3 linked regions of the Tamandua tetradactyla genome follow. The protein of the gene in region 2 interacts with the protein of the main gene of each other region in a pairwise test. Links are inferred from orthologs where the notes say so. Each region holds a gene or a part of one and is shown on either strand. Other genes may lie near its edges. The genes, in order: EGFL7, HOXA1 and NELL2.

Evidence for each region.
Region 1: the proteins of HOXA1 (region 2) and EGFL7 interact in binary tests that used the Homo sapiens proteins (3 or more experiments, as listed by UniProt). The link is inferred for Tamandua tetradactyla from reciprocal best matches to the Homo sapiens genes HOXA1 and EGFL7.
Region 3: the proteins of HOXA1 (region 2) and NELL2 interact in binary tests that used the Homo sapiens proteins (3 or more experiments, as listed by UniProt). The link is inferred for Tamandua tetradactyla from reciprocal best matches to the Homo sapiens genes HOXA1 and NELL2.

The regions. Positions count from the first base shown.
Region 1 is NC_135328.1:126,215,016-126,221,327, forward strand, and holds the start of EGFL7 (epidermal growth factor-like protein 7), read left to right. Parts: upstream 1-2,522; 5' UTR 2,523-2,540; coding exon 2,541-2,611; intron 2,612-2,672; exon of another isoform or gene 2,673-2,708; intron 2,709-5,851; exon of another isoform or gene 5,852-5,918; intron 5,919-5,925; exon of another isoform or gene 5,926-6,312. UniProt on the Homo sapiens protein: Regulates vascular tubulogenesis in vivo. Inhibits platelet-derived growth factor (PDGF)-BB-induced smooth muscle cell migration and promotes endothelial cell adhesion to the extracellular matrix and angiogenesis.
Region 2 is NC_135327.1:96,061,742-96,068,053, reverse strand, and holds HOXA1 (homeobox protein Hox-A1), read right to left. Parts: upstream 3,836-6,312; 5' UTR 3,778-3,835; coding exon 3,132-3,777; intron 2,695-3,131; coding exon 2,339-2,694; 3' UTR 1,163-2,338; downstream 1-1,162. UniProt on the Homo sapiens protein: Sequence-specific transcription factor. Regulates multiple developmental processes including brainstem, inner and outer ear, abducens nerve and cardiovascular development and morphogenesis as well as cognition and behavior.
Region 3 is NC_135333.1:104,680,634-104,686,945, reverse strand, and holds the start of NELL2 (protein kinase C-binding protein NELL2), read left to right. Parts: upstream 1-3,302; 5' UTR 3,303-3,440; exon of another isoform or gene 3,441-3,560; intron 3,561-6,312. UniProt on the Homo sapiens protein: Plays multiple roles in neural tissues, regulates neuronal proliferation, survival, differentiation, polarization, as well as axon guidance and synaptic functions.

The sequences.
Region 1 (6,312 bases), on a different chromosome or scaffold from region 2:
GGAGTCAGGCAGCACCGCCCGGCTCTCCCAGGAGGGGCAGGGCCAGGGGGGCTCCAGGCTGGCTGTAGGGTCGACACTCAGGGAGCGCCCCTCACCCACCCTGCCCAACGGCCCCACATACCGGGAACTTCCCTTTCCGCCCGTGAGATAAAGTGTTTTTTCCTTTCGACGGTAACGGCCGCCCCATTGGGCTTGGCGAGTCTCTGCTGAGCCTGAGTGGGCTTCCGTCCAGGGCGCCGGGCGGGGAGGGGGCAGCCGTGGGGTCCACAGGCCCCTCTTCCTCGGACCACCCCCCCACCGCCTAGGAGCGGGTGGGAGGCAGCTTCCATGGCCTAGAAGAGCCAGAGACCCCGAAGGCTGGACGCCAGACAGAGAGCCCCAGCCGTGAGGCCCAGGGTGAGGCTGGGTCTCCCTCGTCTGGCTCAGGCCCCCCATGTCTGCTCAGCTCAGCACAGCACCCACCCCACCCCCGTCAATCCATCCCTGTCCCGGCCAACAGGCCCGGCACTTAGGAGAGACCTTTCATGGAGGTTCCTGGGGAGCTGGGGTGGGCCACCCTGCACACCCCCAGCAGAAAGGACACTGGGAGACCCCCCCAGGTTCACTCGCCAGCTGATGACCTCTCTCTTACTCTGCCCACCCAGACTCCACATGAGCTTGGTGCCTTCCCGAGCCTCCCCCGGGCCCCCACCCCTGCTCAGAGTGAGTTTCCGAAATATTTCCCCGGGGATGAATTCTGCTGTTCAGTAAAGAAGTGCTTCGATTTCCCACGTTAAAAAAGAACAATGTAGATCCTGATGAAAATGCAACTATGTGAGGGTATTGTGAATCACTGATTATATAGGTAGAATGGAATGATCATACGTGAAGAACGTTTGTGTTTGTCTGTTGTTGTATTTTTTAAAAAAATTCAAAAGTTAATAAAAAAAATTTTAAAAGAGGGAATCATGTGGAAAGAGCTGAAGAAAGAAAATGTCCCCGGGAAGCTGTTTGAAACCAGAAGCTAAGGGAGCAGCAGACGCCAGCCATGTGCCCTCCCAGACCAGCCTTTCTTGAGTCAAAGAATCTTTCTCTGGATGCCTTAGTTTGAACATTCTAACGGCCTTAGAAATTCAAATTTGTAACTTAATAAATTCCCTTTATAAAAACCATAATAATAATAATAATAATAATGACGATGATGATGCGGGGACTCCACAAGGGAGGCTAAAATGAAAACAGCAACACTACGAAGTGCTGGCGAGGGTGTGGGGCACAGCGGCAGCACTGCACGGCCATGGGCCACTCCCGCTGACCGCCAACCTCCCACCCAGGAGTGGGGCTGGGGGCATGTGCCTGGGACAGAGACAAGCAGCCGCCCCTGAACCCACACCTGCAGCAGGACTGACCAACAGCCGCAGCCCCAGAGGGTCTTCCAAACAGAATCCCCCACGGGGCAGAAGGAGCTGGAGTCCACTGATCTGAGACCCCAAGTGGGCAAAACCATGTCCGGCTGCTGGATGTCAGAGAGGGTCACCCCCAGGGCTGTCTCTTGGCCGAGGTGCTGTCCTGGGGTGGGCGGCTTGCCCTGCGGACATCTGCCATGATGGAAGTCTGCCCTCCATCTGTACGTCTGGGGGTGTCCACAAGGTCCTTCTTTTTCGGCTCCTCCCGGGTGCCAGACTCTGTCCTGGGGGCAGGCTGGCAGGGGTGGGCAAGGCTGCGAGGCCTGGAGACAGGGGCCTTGGCCCGTGGTGCCCGAGACAGGCGGGGACAGGGGCGGGGAGGGAAGGGGCAACTCCAGCAAGTTCTGGGGACAGAGCTCTGGGGGCTCGCTGAGGACCCCAATGTGCGGCCCTGGCTGGGGCAGTGCGGGACAGACCCCAGGGAGGGGGCTGTGGCCGAGTGGGTGTCCCCGAGGGACAGAGGCCACGGAGCGGGAGGAAGAAGGGCCAGCCAGACACCCTGGGCTCCATGTCCCTTTGCCCCCATTTCCCGGCCGGTGACTATGGACATGTGACACCAGTCCCCTCCTCCGACCTTCATCTGAAAATGGAAAATTCTCAGAATAAAGGTGTTCCGTGGGGGGCTGGGTGCCAGGGGTGACCACAGGGCCCAGCATGGGGTGCTTTCCACACACACAGTGCAGGGATCTGGGAACAGCGTGTGGGGGAGGGAACACAGGGAGGAAGGGAAACAGGGAAGGAGGGAGGGGGAGGGCCCCGGCCGGCCCGCTGCCCTCTGGGACCCCTGCACATCACCATGTAAGCCTCTCCCCCACCCCACCCCGGGCATGGGGCCCACTCAGGTGTACAGAGGCCACCTGGCCCACAGGCACCTGTGCCCGGCCGCCTCCCCCCAGCCCCACCAGGGACGGCCACTGGGCCCAGCGCATCCTTTGGTGCAGTGCTCGGCCCGCCGCCCGACAGAACCGTCCCATCCCCGCGGCCAGTGCGGGGGTGAACAGGAAGCCCCATCTCTCCCCTGCGCTGCCTTCTTGTCTTTCCTTCCTGCAGCCCTGCGCGCACGCCCCATGCCCCCCGGCCTCGCGGCTGCCTGTGATGCCCACTCTGGTCTCTGCTGAGGACTCGGCCCGCTCTCTCCCCGGGCCGCAGAGCCCAGACACTCAGAGGTGAGGGTCTCTGGAGGGTCCCCGGAGGGCCTGGTGGGACTGGGAAGCTCTGGCAGTCCCCACCCCGCCCCGCCGCTGACCAGTGTGCTCCAGGAAGGTAAGGCAGCCTCCCTCACTGCCCGCACCCCCCATTCAAGCCCAGGCGGGAAGGGCCGCTCTGGATCCAGCCCTGCAGCGACAAGGGATGGTGGGGGGGCGGCAGGGGGGATCTGAGCAACTTGGAGGCAAAGCTGGACCCAGATGGCCAAGCCCAGCCGGGTGGCCTCTGCTCTGAGGCCCCCGAGCAGCCCAGGCGGACATGCGGAGCATCTGGAGAACACCAGCCAGTCCCTCCTGGCCTCTAGCTCTGAGCTGGTCTGTGCAGTGAAGCTGGAGAGGGGGCGCAGATGTGGGGGTGCAGGCCTGGGCAGGAGCCCCCACTGCCCCCTTTTAAAAAAATGATTCACTGCAGGCAGAATGTGTTGGATGACCCTAAACAGATGCTATCAAGGAGGGAAGAGGCTGAGGTGCCCAACAGCTTCCTGGGGGTGCAGCCCTAAGGATGGGAGGGGGTACACAGCCTGCCCCACACTGAGTCCCCCCAGACCCCAAGCTCCACCCACTGCAGCACCGCCCCAGGGGATGGGCTGCCCAGGCAAAAAGGGCCCCTAGCCCTTCTCTGGACACCCAGCCCAACCAGAACCAGTGTAAGCAGGTGGCCAGCCAGCACCCGTTCCTGGCCCACCTCAGCTTCAGAGGGGACCTGCTGGGTTGCAAGGGGGATATGCTAGGGGACAAGGCGGGGGCCCAGAGCCCACTCTTCTCCTTGGGCTCGGTTCTGGTCTTGGCCCGGGAGGGAGGGGCTGGGGGTAGGTTTACGTGGGGGGCTCCTTGCAGGGCTGCTCCTCACTTTCCACACTTGAAACCCCACCCTTCCATTTACTTCTGGGCTCTGTGGCATCATTTCCAGAAAGTTCCCCAGCACGCACACCGGTCAGAGGCAGAGTGACCCATTAGCCAAGGCAGGTATTTGGCTAATTACCTACTCCCAACCCTTGGTGCCTCCCCAGACAAGGGACCAGTCTGAAGACTGGGGCGCTGTCCCCGGTTTGGGGACATTAGAAATTGGGGTGTTCATTGAGGAAAGAAGGGCTGAGAGAAGGGGCCCTCCTACAGGATCTGGCCCCCTCCCAGCTCTGCCCACGGCTTCCCTGGGCAGCCCTGCTCCCACCACCTGTCCAGAGCGGATGCCACGTGCCCTGCCCTTTGCTGGTTTCTCACCTGGGGGACAAAAGTGTATCCTGGGCCCGGAGTCTGGGAAGGAGTGACCTGGGCGGCCTGGCTGAAAGCCCCTGGCAGGACGTCCTGCTCCCCTGACTGCAAAGTCCCCAGGTAGGGGAGTGAGGGGGGTCAAGCTAGGCAAGGGGGGACCCTGCCGAGGGTGTGTCCAGGAGGGGTGAGGGCTGGATCCCCTGAGTGGGCTGGCTGGGAAGAGATGGGGTGTGGGGGTCACACCTGAGCCCCCACCCTTGGCGCCCTCGCTCAGATGGCAGTGCCTGAGTGCCAGGGGTATCCGTGAACCAACCAAACCTCCCAGTCACCTCCATTGTCCCTTCTGAGGAGAGGGGGACATTGAGGCTGGGAGAGAAGTGGCCCAGGGCCTAAGAGGCAGGACCTGCCGTGAGCCCCAGGCCTGCCGGCTCCCTGCCCTCACCCGGGCATTGGCAATAGATCCTGGCACAGCCATGGGGGTGGGGAGGGAAGTGGGTAGCACGGCAGGGTGGGGTGGGGGGACAGTTCCGTCCTTGCCTCAGCATTCCAGCGGGGAACCTTCCAAGGTTCGAGCCACCCTCGAGGCCTGAGACGTCCAGCCGGGTGGGGCTGGAAGGAGGTGGGGGCCCACGGAGATGTACGGGGCCAGGAAGAATGGTGGGGAAGGGTGCCCTTGGCAGCAGGGGCGCAGGGGAGGACCCTGCGGTGAGGCTTCTCTCCAAGGAAAGCCGCCCTCGCTCCAGGCACCAGCAGCCAGCGGTGTGGTCTGGGACAAGTGCTCTCTCTGGGACCAGGCACCACTCACCCACGCCTGCTGTGTGAGGGCCACCCAAGGCCCACCCTTATAGCAACTACCCCATTGCCACCTAAATGGGGAAACTGAGATCAGACCTTGTGGCACCCTCTTTGGGACCTAAAGTCTCTCCTGTTCCTTCTTCCTCCCCACCCCTCTGGCTGCTGGAGGCAAAGGAAAGAGGCTGGGGGAGGGGGAAAGAGGGACCTGGAACATGCTTTGTCTTCCGGTCCGGGGGTGCCATCAGCCTGGAGGACCCCTGGGAAGGGCAGCTTGGGTCTTTTGGCCTTCTCTTGCACACGCCCGAGGACAGGGAGCTCATTGCCCCTCCGGACAGCCCTGTCCACAGGGAAACAGCTCAGATTCCTAGCAAAGGCCCGTGTCTCAGAGCCGAAGTCTGTCCACCTTTGGCACCTGCCACCCCAGCTGGTCTGCTCTGGGCCCCAGGGACCTATAGAGCAAGCTGGGCTCAGACCACTCAGTCTGCCCTGCCCATCCCCAAATCCCTTCCAGCGGGGTCCTGCCAAGTCCTCCACTGGCCAAGGCTCTGGCTGTGGCTGGAACCTTCCTGGGGCCAGGAGCCCCTTGAGGTTCACATCTTGAGCCCTCACCCATCTGGAGGTGCAGGCAGGTGTGGGGGAAGAGCCCAGCGTCCCCTGGAGAATGGCCTGTGGCCAAATGTGGGAAGCCCCTTCCATTGAGCTACACGAATGCAGCCTGAGGTCCCACCGACTTTATGGGTCCTGCGGGGGGCGGGGAGGGGGCCTGGGTGTCATGTCCCCCCGACACACTGTAAATGGGATGGGGGAGGTCACCCAATATCACCAGCTAAGTTGCAGCTAAGCACAAACCTAGCTCTGGCTGATTTGAGATTGCAACTCTGCAGTCCCAGGGGACAGCTACCTCCCCCTACCCCAGAGCGCTGCCAGCCACCCCCTCCCTCACCGGCCCCCCAACCCGCCCCTCTGCCTCCTGTTTGTTCTGCTGACGGATCCCTGTTATCAGCGGAGAACACACACAGGAAGTCCGGCCGGGAAGGGCCCATCCCAATCCCGATTTACACGGGACGGAGCATAAAAAGCCGCCCTTCCTCGCCCCGGGAGGAACCCCCTGCCCTAGCCGCTGGCTGGAGCAGCCGGGATGCAGCCTCGAGCAGGCAGGCCGGGCCAGCGGGAACCAGGCCCTGGTGAGGGGCAGGGTCCACCCTGGCCACGAGAGATGGCGGCGGCAGGCATGGCCGAGCCAGGGCCTGGGCAGTGTCAGGTATGGCAGGGACATGCTTGGGCGGGTGGGAGAGGCTCTGAGCTGCCCATGAGCTTCATCCTGGCCTTGGTGGTGCCTGCATGGGCCACGTCGGCCTCCCCATTTTGGTGCCACCCTCCCCACCCCCCTGGCATAGAAGAGACCACCAGGACCACTTGGCTAGGTCACCAGCTGGGGGTGGGGTGGGGTTGGGGGTGTTTGGTGTCCTGACCCCAGCACTTGGCTGCCCAGCGGCTGATACCCCACCCGATACCCCACCCCCAAGCTCGGCACCCCCTTATGTCCCGGAGAGGCCTCAAGAGGCAGGTGCCCAGGAAGTTGGCAGCACAATGTGCATAACTGGGCCCTCTGTGGGGAGATGATGTCCCACCATCCTCCTTTGCTGAGCCCCGGG
Region 2 (6,312 bases):
GAGTCCAGGCTTGCCGCCTTTGACAGGGAAGTGCAGGAAATCTCACTGGTGCTCTAGGATGCCTGCAAACTCCAAACTTTTGTATGCCCCTCCACCCCCACCCCCCCCATCCTTTGTAAAACATTCTTTGCGGAGGAAGGAAGTCGTATGTCTGTATTTGTTTGGGATGCTGTAAATTTTCTGCTGTACTTTGGAGCTAAATTAAAGCCTCCAAAAAATGTGTGAAAGTAAAGAAAAAGTGGTAAGAGGTCTGGGAGGAGCACTTTGAACTCTTTCATTTGCTGGCTTCCCCTGAGAGCAGGCAGATGCCAGGGTTGAAGCAATTTGGATATTGAAAGACTTCAAGGCACAGGGACAAGTTCACCTGGAAGGAACTATTGAGCCCAGAAAATAAAATTTTAAAAACTTTTTTTCTGGGTTATATTGCATGGAATTAGAACTGTGGACTCACCGCAGCCATGTTGGCTATGAAATAAAAATTGAGTCTGAAGGGAATGAGATGTGCAACCTAGAGGGGGTTGGGAAACAATGCAAGGGATAGATGTTGAAGGGAGGAATGGGGGAGGGGTATAAGGGTTTACTGAAAGCAGACCCCACTAAATTTAAAGGCTGGAATATATTGGAACACTGCACAGCAATCTAAAAAGAAGGAAAGACGGGTGGAGTGAGGGCTCCATCCTCACAACAGCTTTATACTGGAGCTAATTAAATGAGAATCTGTTCGCTCTAGGTTCACTGATGTGAGGAAAGACTGACTGAAGACAGTTTCAGCTTTTGAAGAGAGGTTCTGTTTATATATATGTCAACATTCAGTTGGAGGTGAAAAGGTTAGCACTTGACCCAGGAAGTATCCATGATTGTTTCAGCAATAGCTCTTCTTCATAAATTTCCTCACCGTTCATTTTTTCCATTATAAATGTCAATTATTATAAAGAAGCTGTTGTTATTTTAAAGAAAATCAAGCTATTAAATAACATTGGTAAGGTGTCATACCAGAATCTGGTGAAATTAAAGTCGTGAAGAAGTTTCAGCTACATGAAAATGGAGGGTATTCACTTTTATGCAAGAAAAGGCCCACTTGGAAAATTCATATCATTCTTTCTCCCCATCCCCAAATGAAATAGACAACTTCGTAGGAATCAACAAATTGTATCCCAGTCAAATACACTGACATTTAAGCATACCTGAAATTGAATATATTTATTACAGACATCTTAAGACCCGTAAACTCTGCTCCGGATCACATCACTCCAGGATCTCAGAGCTAGTCATGATTGTACAGAAAATGGGAAATCAAAGGCTCACCAAGGATAACTGATAGAACTCAGTGTGGTACTTCAGAGACATCAAAACATTGTGCGACATGCAAAAGACTATTCACCAATCACACAAAATATACATTCATTGTGCCATCCATCACATTAACAATTGAGCTGAAAATACATCATATCCAGCTACAGTAACTGTGGAAGGAAGAAGCTGGTTTGAATAATGCCTTTAGGTTCAGAATAATCCAGCACAAATTTTTAATGGAAAGTAACCAGAGAAGCAAGAAAAAAGGGGATGGGGAAAAATTTAATACAGGAAGCCAGGTTTGTGAACCTTGTGCTCTACAGGCCTTCTTAGCTCACTGAAAGAACAAATCAAGGCTATCCTCTGAGGCATCCGATTGGGTTTCAATAAGGAAATTTATTCTTTCACCTATAATCACATATAAAATTGTAGGAGCCATGAGAGTTTGCCCACCCTGTTTGAGTCAATTAAACTAAACTTTCCTAGAAAATCTGTATAAAGATAAATCTCTCAGTCAAAGTATTTACAAAGCCAACTTATACATGAAACTGAATTAAATTAAGGAATGAATGAATTGTGTAAACACACTCATAGTGCATCTATTCTTCATGAGCTCCTGAACTCTTTCCTGTCTTTCTATTCTACTTTTAAGATCAGAGTAGGGGACAACTGTAAAGATACAGATTGATAAAAGATGAGAAGCCTCTCCCTGATATGTTTCTGCTGGCAAAGGGGTCTATTCTCCAAAGGACATCTGGAAAGGAATAGTAGGTTCCTGGAAATACCCTTAAAAGGCAGGAAGGGGTTGTAGGGACCATCAGAAAATTGATGCTGGCACCCAATCTGGATTAAGGAGTAAATCTCCCACCAGGTCTGGTCCAGAACTCTCTGGAAACACATTAACTCGGCCAGGAGTTCCCAGATAGGATCAGAAAGGAAGAGAGAGACTGTCAATGGAAAGGAAGATAAGCTAAGAATGTGCTTTGGGTAAGAAGTCCCAGCCTGAGAAGCCTGGACTGTGGAGCCTTGGGCTGGGGTGGCCTCCTCAGTGAGAGGTGGTCAGGGTGTCTGAGGTAGAAGATCCTGGGGAGGGAACGCAGGGAGAGGAGCTGGACTTCTCTGAGGATTCCTCGGCCTTTTCATCGCTTACGGGCGGAGTAGCCGGAGAGATGGGCAGAAGCCCTTCCTTCTCTCGCTTCTTCTGCTTCATTCGGCGGTTCTGGAACCAGATCTTCACCTGGGTCTCGTTGAGCTGCAGGGACGCAGCGATCTCCACCCTGCGGGCACGCGTCAGATACTTGTTGAAGTGGAACTCCTTCTCCAGCTCCGTCAGTTGCTTGGTGGTGAAGTTGGTGCGCACCGCATTGGGTTGACCCACATAGCCATATTCTCCAACTTTTCCTGGAGACAGAGTAGGAATTGGTGAGGGAAAAAGGTAAAAATTTAAAAATTGATATGAGGGACATTTATCCCCTACAGGCTTTAGAGCAAAGGGAGATCAAGAACTTCTCAGCACAAATCAGGCTACGAAGGGTGAGTGATGAAGTGTAAAGACGTGGTCAGACGAGTGATTAATGAAGCCTAGAGATATTAGCAAAATACATCCCCTCCCCTTCCTACTTACAAAACCTCTAAAACTCAGCCCACTTGGAAACACGTGTCTCAGAGCCTTCTTTGCCCCAAAACATCTGGGCAATCTCCCCATACCCTACAACATCTGTCGGAAGCAAGAACTTAAAAAAAAAAATCATTAGGAATTTTCCTTGCAAACTAAGCATACCAGCTTCTTCCAGTATCATCAAAGAGCATCCACCGGCCAGCAGTAGACGGGGACTGACCTGTTTTGGGAGGGTTTCTTTTGACTTTCATCCAGTCAAAGGTCTGCGCTGGAGAAGATGTCTCCGACGCAGGAGAGCGACAGGCTTCTTGGCTGGCGTGGAGAGGGGACAAGGAGTTATTATACGTGGCCAGGGCCAGGTTCTGATGCTCTTGTCCATATGAGTGATGGATGTACTGAGGCGAGCCCACCGTGCCCCCGGCATAACCCTGGTGGTGGTGGTGATGCTGGACCATGGGAGATGAGAGATTTCCAGAGTAAACAGCGGGAGCGCACGGGGGGTACCCACCACTTACTTCTGCTTCCTGATTTAACGCGTAGGGACTGTAAGGCGCGCCGAAGTTCTGAGCGCCGTAGCCTGGGCCACAACTCGAGTGGGAGTAGGACACCCCCAGATTCCCAGGAGTCTGGTATGTGGCTGGCTGGGAGTGGTGATGGTGGAGGTGATGGTGGGGGGGAGGGCTGATCTGCACACCCCTCCCCACTAGGAAGCGGTCGTCGCCGCCGCAGCTGTTGGCACTGACTGCGCACGACTGGAAAGTTGTAATCCCATGGTCGGAAGGGTAGGCTAGCGCTGAGCAGGTCCCGGAGTCGCCTCCGCTGAGAATGGGGTATTCCAGGAAGGAGCTCATTCTTGCATTGTCCATCTGTCACTGAGTGACCAGGTCCTGCGAAGCCCTGGGTGACCGTGCCAACTTTCTCACTTCCTCCATGGGGTCGAAGAAGAAAAATGATATGAATGTACAGTGCGCAAGACAGGGGGCGGAGGGCGGAGGGCTCTAGGGAGGGGCACGTGACTGTGCCAGCCAATCGCTGAGCCCCCTGCGAAAGTTTGCCGACTCCCGCGGTGATGGATCACTGTTTCAGTGGCATTTAAATCCCCGGCGCTCCTCCGTCTAGGTGACGCGCAGTCGCCCCCCTAGGCAGCCCAGGCCGTGGCAGTAGCTGCGGCGGCTGCTACGACTGATTCCGAGCACTGGGGCGAAGGGGAGGAGAGGCTGCTTTCCACGCGCGCTCAACTCCGCTCGGCCCCCGCCCCTGCGGGAAGTAGGGGCTGAGGGCATCCCCCACCAGCGTTCCCCTCTCAGCTGTGTACAGAAAGATGAACTGGCGAAAGGTGAGAAGGGAAGAGGGCTCTCGGCTCTCTCGGGTGAGGGATAAAGCGGCCGGAACTGTCTGGGCGGAACAGAAAGGGTAGGAAACAAGACCTGCGTAAGCCCCAGTTTCCCGGATCGCTTTTACTGCACTGTCCGTGCTCCGGGACCCTGGGGCGGTAAGGAATGCAGAAAATGGTGGTGGAGAGCGAGGCTGGGCCACCAGCTCTCCGAGCCGAGAAGGAAGTGCGCGGAGGACTGACTGAGAGGAATCCCGGATGGGTGTGGAGCGGCGAGCTCAAGAAAAGAAAATTCCCTTTTCCTAGGAGGGTCTCTGATGCTCCTTTTCCGCCCTACACCGTTGCCATTAGCATGGCAATGAGGAGCTTATGTAATTCGACGCCCCGGGGCGGGTGAGCCCTTGCAGCAGAGCTTGTCAGCAAAGGCCTGGGATGGCCGGACTCTTCTCCACCCTCTCTCTCTCTCTCTCCTCGTTCCCGCCCCTTTCTCCTTCCCACTCAGCTTTGCTCCGGGAGCCCTTCGGGATCCCGAGCAACTCGGCCGCTGGATTTTGAGGGGTAGGAGGCGGGGGAGAGAGATGACGCTAGCGGACGTGGCCTGCGTAGGGGCCGAACCGCGCGCTGCAGACCATCTGCCGGCTCCCCAGGACCCAGGAGCCTGCGCGCTCCGGGTGGGGCCTCGAAGGGCCAGACCACAGCTCCAACAAAGTGTGCTCAGCTCTCCTCTCTCCTTCGTTTCTCTCTTTCTGGAGAGGGGATTTACGAGTAGGAGATCCTCCTCCAACACCCCCCCCCATACACACACACACACACACACACACACACACACACACACTAGATTCGGTTGCATTGCATGTCTGGAGTGGGGGTGGGGGCTAGCAGGTGGGAGGGGTGGTGGACAGATGGCTGATGGTGGACACTAGACACTTTCCTCTTCCCCAACGATACCTCCTCCCCTTTCCAACTTACTGTGTAGCTGCCTATGTGAGTCAAGTGTTTCCCCAGAGAGGCACGTGCAAATCTGAGCATCATCCCAAGCCAGAGGTCCTGGTCTTCATCACACTTATCCTACCCTGATACTGATGGTGTCGTTAATTGCTATTTACTATTAGGTTTCGAGTCAACCACGGGCTTGTAGAGAGAAAAGTCCAGAGGCAGAGAATTGATGCATGCTTAGGTAGCAGAAATCAGCCAAGAAGCTTTGCAGCCACTGTTCTATAGATTTTACTCTGATGGTGTTTACAACATTGAATCTGACAGATGAAAATTATTATGAGGACTGTATGTGGGTTTGGGATTCCTACTTCTTGCCTACCTCCCCTCCCCCAGTTAGAACAACAATGTTTTGCTTGAGGCAGGCATATTTCAAATGTGTTAGGCACCCTTTCAGGCCCCTGTGTTCTGTTCTCCAAATATAAAGTCTCCCCCCAAATCTGTCATCTCAGAAGGGAAAACCCTTGCAGACCTTTAACGCTGGACTCCCTCAGCAGCAGCAAAAAAAAAAAAAAAATGGGTTCCCCAAACACTTCCTTTGGAATGGTATTTTTCTGTGAACTTTGACCCATCCTCAAACTTGGTTTAAGTGGGAGCACGTACAGAAAAGGTCACTACTGCCTCAGTTCCAGCTTCTGGAGAAGGGAAAAGGCAAGACGACTCGCCTGGAAGCGGCTTCCTTGGGAGCGCCAGGCCTGCAGCGGAATAGGAGGAGAAGGGATCCTGTGGGGGTGGGGCTGAGGTGGAGAGTATGAGCTGGCAGTGTGGGTGATCTACTCTCGGAGCCAAAGCTCATCCGTACGTTCTCCCCCCTTGCCTTATTCCTATACCTTTGTTGGCCTCCTCCGCCGGGGTTTGCGCGACCCCCCTGGGCCGCAGGGCGTCCTCCACAAAGCCGCCACCGGCCTCAGCCTTGTCGCCTCCTCTGCTAGCTCCCGGCCTCCGCACTCCTCTCCCTCCACCTCCCTTCTCTCCTGGGTTCCTTACTAAGACAGCCTGGGTGGGGAGGTTTTCTTGGTGTCAAAAGCATGCACTCGCACAACACACAGGTCCGCAGGCACTCGGGCCGGCTCCC
Region 3 (6,312 bases), on a different chromosome or scaffold from region 2:
TGCCCATTTATATCTAAAGGGTATGCAGTGACTAGCGTCATTTTGGGAAATTTAAGATTAAGATAGAAATCCTAGTCATTGAATGCTAGGTGTATTAAATACAGTCCGTGATGGCCAACATAATTTTCAGAAAGAGTAATTTCCTAGATAAAGCTTACTGTGTTGGCATGTCAATATTTTCAGGTGCCATGGCTGACAAGTTTGTACTAGTACACTTTAAAATTGCTTTATATTCAGTCCGTGGGTTGTGGAAATAGCAGTTTGTGTTTGGTTATCCAGAAAAATAGTATGTCATTAAAATACTCTTTATATGCAACTCTTGGAACATATCCCATACATAATGTATTCACAAAAAGTTCATTTTTTTTTTTTACATCTTATCACATAATATCACATAAGGAAGCACAGTTCTGATGCACTTCAATTGAATTATGCTTCTCTTTTTGACAGAATAGGGAAATACATTCATAAGAATGAACAAACACACCTTGAGCTACCTAATTTTTTGAGGAGGCAGAGAGAAGCACATTAACATTATCCTGTTATTAAAACATCTATGGGAAAGGCATTTTGGGCATCTAATAGCTGTTGCTTTTCTAAATTGTGTGCCAGAAATATTTTATATCAAAACTTGATGACAGTGACTCTTCAAAAAAAATAAACTCCTAGAAAAATACTTTACATAACTGTAGCTTTATAATGTGGATCTGGAAAAAAAATTCTTTTGCCTTTTCTCACATTGAATCTTTTGGTATTTAATTCAAACTGGCTCAAAGATTAATTTTTATAATTGACTGGTACAGCAAATTCTAAGCTATTTCTCATATGGTTAGAGACAGTGGTTGAGTTCATGGGACAGAATGCACCACTACAACATTCTCACAGCAATATTTATAAATGTTCAGTCAAATGAATTAATTTTTCTTCCTAAACCAATTCATTAATTTACAAATCAAGAAATAGAAATGGTAGAATGCTAAACAGAGTCTGGACAGGAAATGAGAAGATTCTATAATTCTTTAAGATGGGTATTAGTGTCAATCTATTATGACACTTTTTAATGAGGTGTAAATTCTAGTGTAATATGTGTATGAACCACTTAGTATCACTTGCAATTTATTCTTCAACTACTAATGAATTCCTCCCATCTTGCTATCCTGGAAATACATGTCCTAGGCCAGTAGGGATTCCAAAGGAGAAAACAGATGGGTCAGTGGAAATCCATCATCATTACAAGGGGAAAAAAGAATGGGGGGAAAACCTCAACTCTGAACTCCAAGCACATGGCCTGCTATAAAGAGACTAGACAAAAGCTACTCTATTAGTTATAAATTGTGCATTAACTATTTTCTTGATTAAAGGATGGAGAACTCTCTTTTAATAGTTATCTCTGTGTATCCTGGATGCTTTCCTTTGTAAAAATATAATTAACAGAAACTAATGGAAAAATTGACAGAAACATCTCTTAGGGTGATCCTATTTCTATAGCCCCATCCTCCATTAAGAATCTGAGTGCTAGTTCAGGGTCTCCAGACAGTAACTTGAGCCTTCCTCTTTTCTTATAAAAGAAAAATGCAGCCCAAACTTTGTGGTCTCTTGAGAGCTGTCAGGGAGAAAAGAATGTAATTAACATGGGGGATATTTGTGGGGTGAGGGCTGGGGAAAACTGACTTTAAACTTTAAAACCTAGGCTGAGGATATAATGCAATTTAAATGCAGTGTCCAAGGAGTCTAATGCACAGACAAACTGGACAGGGGAAACTCCTGGTGGTAGCTGAGTCTTGTGTCAGATGGTTTGGAGCTATGTATGTACTCAAGGAAAAAAAAAGCTCTTAAACTTACTTCATTCCTGTTGGTATAAAACCACTGTAAGTTGGACCCTTTTGGTGAGGTCAGTTGACACGTGGCTCAACTCAATCAGGATGGGTTTAATCCTATTACTTCAGTCGTTTGTAAGCAGAATGGAAGTCGGATGGACAGAGAGAAAGCCGCAGGAAGCAGGAAGCTGGAAGCTGGAAGTCAATGGAATGCAGAAGAGAAGGGAAGGCCAAGAGAGGCATCATGTTCATTGCCATTTGACAGAGGAGCCCAGGAACAAGGAGCACTGGCAGCCAGCCCCAGAATACTCGTCTTTGGGAAGAAAGCATTGCCTTGATGATGCTTGATTTGGATTTTCCTAGAAGACTTAAAATCGTGAGCCAATAAATTCCCATTGTTTAGGCCAGCCTATTGCATGGCATTTGCTTTAACAACAAAGAAACTAAAACAGGTGGAATTGGAGTTGTCGAGCAGGGAGCCATTGGTGCCTGATGGTGGGATGTTTCACAGAGGGAGCCTCTAAGCAAAGACCATCACCAGGGAAGGGGACCGGCCAGGGTTTGCTAGGTCCATTGGCCTCTCTTGACTACATCTCCTCCCCACCATGCTGATTCTAGAAACTAATTCAGGATGAGGCGCTCTTCCGCTTGGGAACCAAAGATAACAAGCATGCAGAAGAAAGTTCACTGGCTACCCCTGGTGAGGTTAGGAAGATTGCCAGCAGGACATACCAGGTATGGCTTTTACTGGCCTGGAATCTGGGTGGATATTGACAGAGATGTCAGATTTTGTTAAAGTTTTGGGGGACAACACTCAATGATACTACCCAGAGTCACAGAGATTCCAACTGTATTAGGTTATATAAAAGTACCCAAAATAACAAGTACAACTTCCTTTTATTTAATACATTATATGTTTGGAACACTATTTATACCAAGCACTTTACATTCTACAGATAAGGAAGCTAAAACTTAGAGGGATTAAATCTATTATTTATTTACTCATCACCTCATGCTAGTAAAAGGAAGTTCTAGAATTTCAACTCAAGTCTGTTTGATCTCAACTCTTGTACATGCTGTACTGTTTTCTCATTCTTATCTGTAACTTGTTTCTTTCAGGGCAACATACTTCTTCCGCATGAAAAGCTAAAAACCTCTTGGTAGGAAGATATTTCTCTGCTAAGCATGTCGAGCATCGATGACGCAAGAGGTATCTTCACCGGTGTCTATGCCCTACATCCTCAGAGTCTCGCTTTTAGCCTCAGCGCTGGGTGCTGGGTGCTGGCTGGTGTTCGGAACGTGAACTTGCTCCCATGCATGGAACTGTTCCCTAGTAGGGCCCCCAGGGGGCAGACTGCAGCAGCGATCGCCTGGAGCCCTCTAGTGGTCACGAGGAAGCTCAGCGTTCCTAGGAACATTCTCAAAGCCCAGCCAGTGTTGCCCAGGGAAGCAAGGCTGTGTGACACCCCTAGAGTCACCCTTATAGTGTCCCTTTAGGTGCCTCTGGGGCATGTCCACTGGCCCTGCCTCAACTCAAGATGACTTCTCAGACCTGCCAAGGGTGCTCTTTCGGATGCTGCAGGGTAGATTCTATCACTAAATTTCGGGAAGAATCTAATACAGGTATCTAGAGGACGTGGCAGGAAATCTCAAATTTATTTTTGTATGTCCCTCAAAATGCACAGGGTGTTTTATTTAAATTGACTCCCAGAAGCATCCCTGGATATCTTATACTTTCCCAAGGTAAATATTTAACTAATGCTAGTAACACTTTTAGGTTACATGGGGTAATATAATTATGATTTTCTGGGATGTTTCTAGTTATATTTATAGGATATATTTAAATAATATTGGTAAACCATGCATAGTTTAATGCATAATGCCATTAGCTTGTTTTTCATGACTGCAATGTAATTATGATGACATATTTCATTAGTTTTTCCCTATTCTTTAATAACATAACTCTAGATTATTTTTATTTTTTTGAGTGTAAATATATGAGTGTATTTAAACATACATATATTTTAACAGATTTATTTTGGTTATCAAATGTAGATAGCAACTTTATCTATTTCACTGTCTCCACTAGAATGTACTGATGTCATTTTCTCATTGTATTTAAAATAGACCAATTTATTTTGGAAAAAAAAAAGCCGCTTTTATAAAATTGCAATAGAAAATACTTTGTATTCATGGAAAAAGATACAATTTCTTAATGAAATAGGAAATAATTTCCACTAGGCATATCCTGTTAAAAATCATCCAGTTACCCACTTAACTATTACAAACAAATCAATTACTAAAACTCATTTGTTGATAAAATATTTACAAGGTGACTCAGTACAATGTTAAGTGCTGTAGAAGATACAAATAGGAATGTGACATGATTCCTGTTCTCAAAGTTCAGGGGGAGAAGCAAAGACAAGTAACTATCCTTTAAAGAAGACAAATTAACAGTGGAATCCCATCATCTCAGCAAAACAAAAGTAAACTAACAACCCCAGAAATAAAAAAGGGAGACAAAAATTACAATTTAAATAGTTCTGTTAGTACTGCTCATCATTCCTTTCAGTGGTTGCTTGGAGTAAGCATGAGGCGAGATGTGACTGTGTGGTTCCCTCAGTTTGTCTCTGTTCAGGGGCCCTCTCAAGCATAAGCATATTACTGAGCTGAGTGTGATTCTAATTTTTAGAGATATGCATATATGCATTTTTTTCATGTAAAATGGATCTTCCAACTGCTTCAACTGGTGCTTAACCAAAGAAACAGGAATCTGTTTCATTTAATGAGGGAAAAACAGGCTGTGCTGAATCAACTCATGGTCTCCAGGGGAGTACTTGTTGGAGGACTTTGCAGGGTAATTTTGATTATTCATGATTTTCTCATTTCTATTTTAGAATCTAGGAGGTATAACTCTATTGTAAGATATGTTTCATTAGAGAGGTACAAACAGCGTGCAGGGGCTTAGATGGCAAGTTAGATAGTTTGACTTTATTCTGATATACAGTAAGATGCTGTTAAGGGATTCTGAATGAAGATGGTCATCAAATTAGGTTTTGGGAGATTCATTTGGCAGTAATATTTTAGATAGGAAGGTGAAAAAACTAGAGAGAGAGAGACAATTAAGAAGCTATTATGATTGCTGAAGTAAATAAGAGGTAATGACGGTCAGACCTAGGGTAGAGGCAGAATATATTAACCTTTTTAACTGACTAGGATGGATTACAAATAGAGGTTTTAAATTGGGAAACCATGAGATTGGTGGCTCCTTTAATTAGAATTAGGGAAATCAGGAGAACTGGTTTTGGCTAGGGAGATAAGCATGATATTAGGAGTGCGAGGTGACCATGGGATATCCAGGTGGATATGTTCAGCAAGGGATTGGATGTTGGAAAGGATTGTAAAATTGTTTGGGTTTGTGGTATATTCTGTTTAGGAATGGCAGTTCAAATTATGAGAGCAGACAAATGGCTAATGAAGATCAACCTTAGAGGAAAAAAAAGAAGGCCAAGTACAGATTTTGGGGGATTATGTGCTTTTGAAATGAGTAAGGGAACCAAAGAAACAATGTTGAAGAAAAACATTCAGGGTAAGAGAATTTTAGGACAGGAGACATTAAGTGGTGCTGAAAGTTCAAGAACTAAATAGAAATAAGGAACTAATGTTGGATGTAGCGAAGAATATAATAGGGGAATAAGAAATATTCTAAAAATCTCTTATTTAGGTGAGATAATTTCAGGAAGAAGGGCTGGTAAATGATTTAAGTGTTGTTGAAATTTCAAGGAGATGGAAAATGAATTTGGAAAATTGAGAATTAAAATCCAAAATTAAGATATGTGGTCTATCAAAGGATTTTTTCCTGATTTATAAATTTGTGTTGAGACTTACAAATGTATAAAAATCTGCTTATATTTAGTTATACTAAACATATAAAAATAAAACTCTATATTGTAATAATAATAACTTATATATAATTTGTAACTACTCTTAATAATGCAAATGTAGGAAACTGATGTTTTCTCAGAAATGGATACCAGAGTTGTCGTTAGTGATTTATAAGAGTGTGGGCTAAAGATAGATTGCAAGCCAAAGAATAATTGGAGTTGAAGAAATACAGGCTTAGAGTTCATCTTTAGTGTATTTTTCAACCTTTTTATGTGCACATACTATTCTGAAATCACTTAATATGTAACAACTTTTGTCCATGCCCAGTACTAAAAAAAAAATAAGAAAATATCATACAGCATTTGCTGCCATAGAAGTGAAACTAGAAATATACAGAAACTACGTTTTAGTGCATAATCTGGAGAGTTCATGCAAGGGTTCAATAGAAGAAGAGGGGTTCCATGATGCCTTAATAATGTCAACATATATTTACGGTTCCTTCTTCCCATTTGTGAAATGCTGTAATTCTTTGTATCCTACGTCCGAAAGCCTTTGAAGTAGTGGGGTAGAAGATAGGAACCCTTCTACTGCAGAGAGATTTCCCGTATCA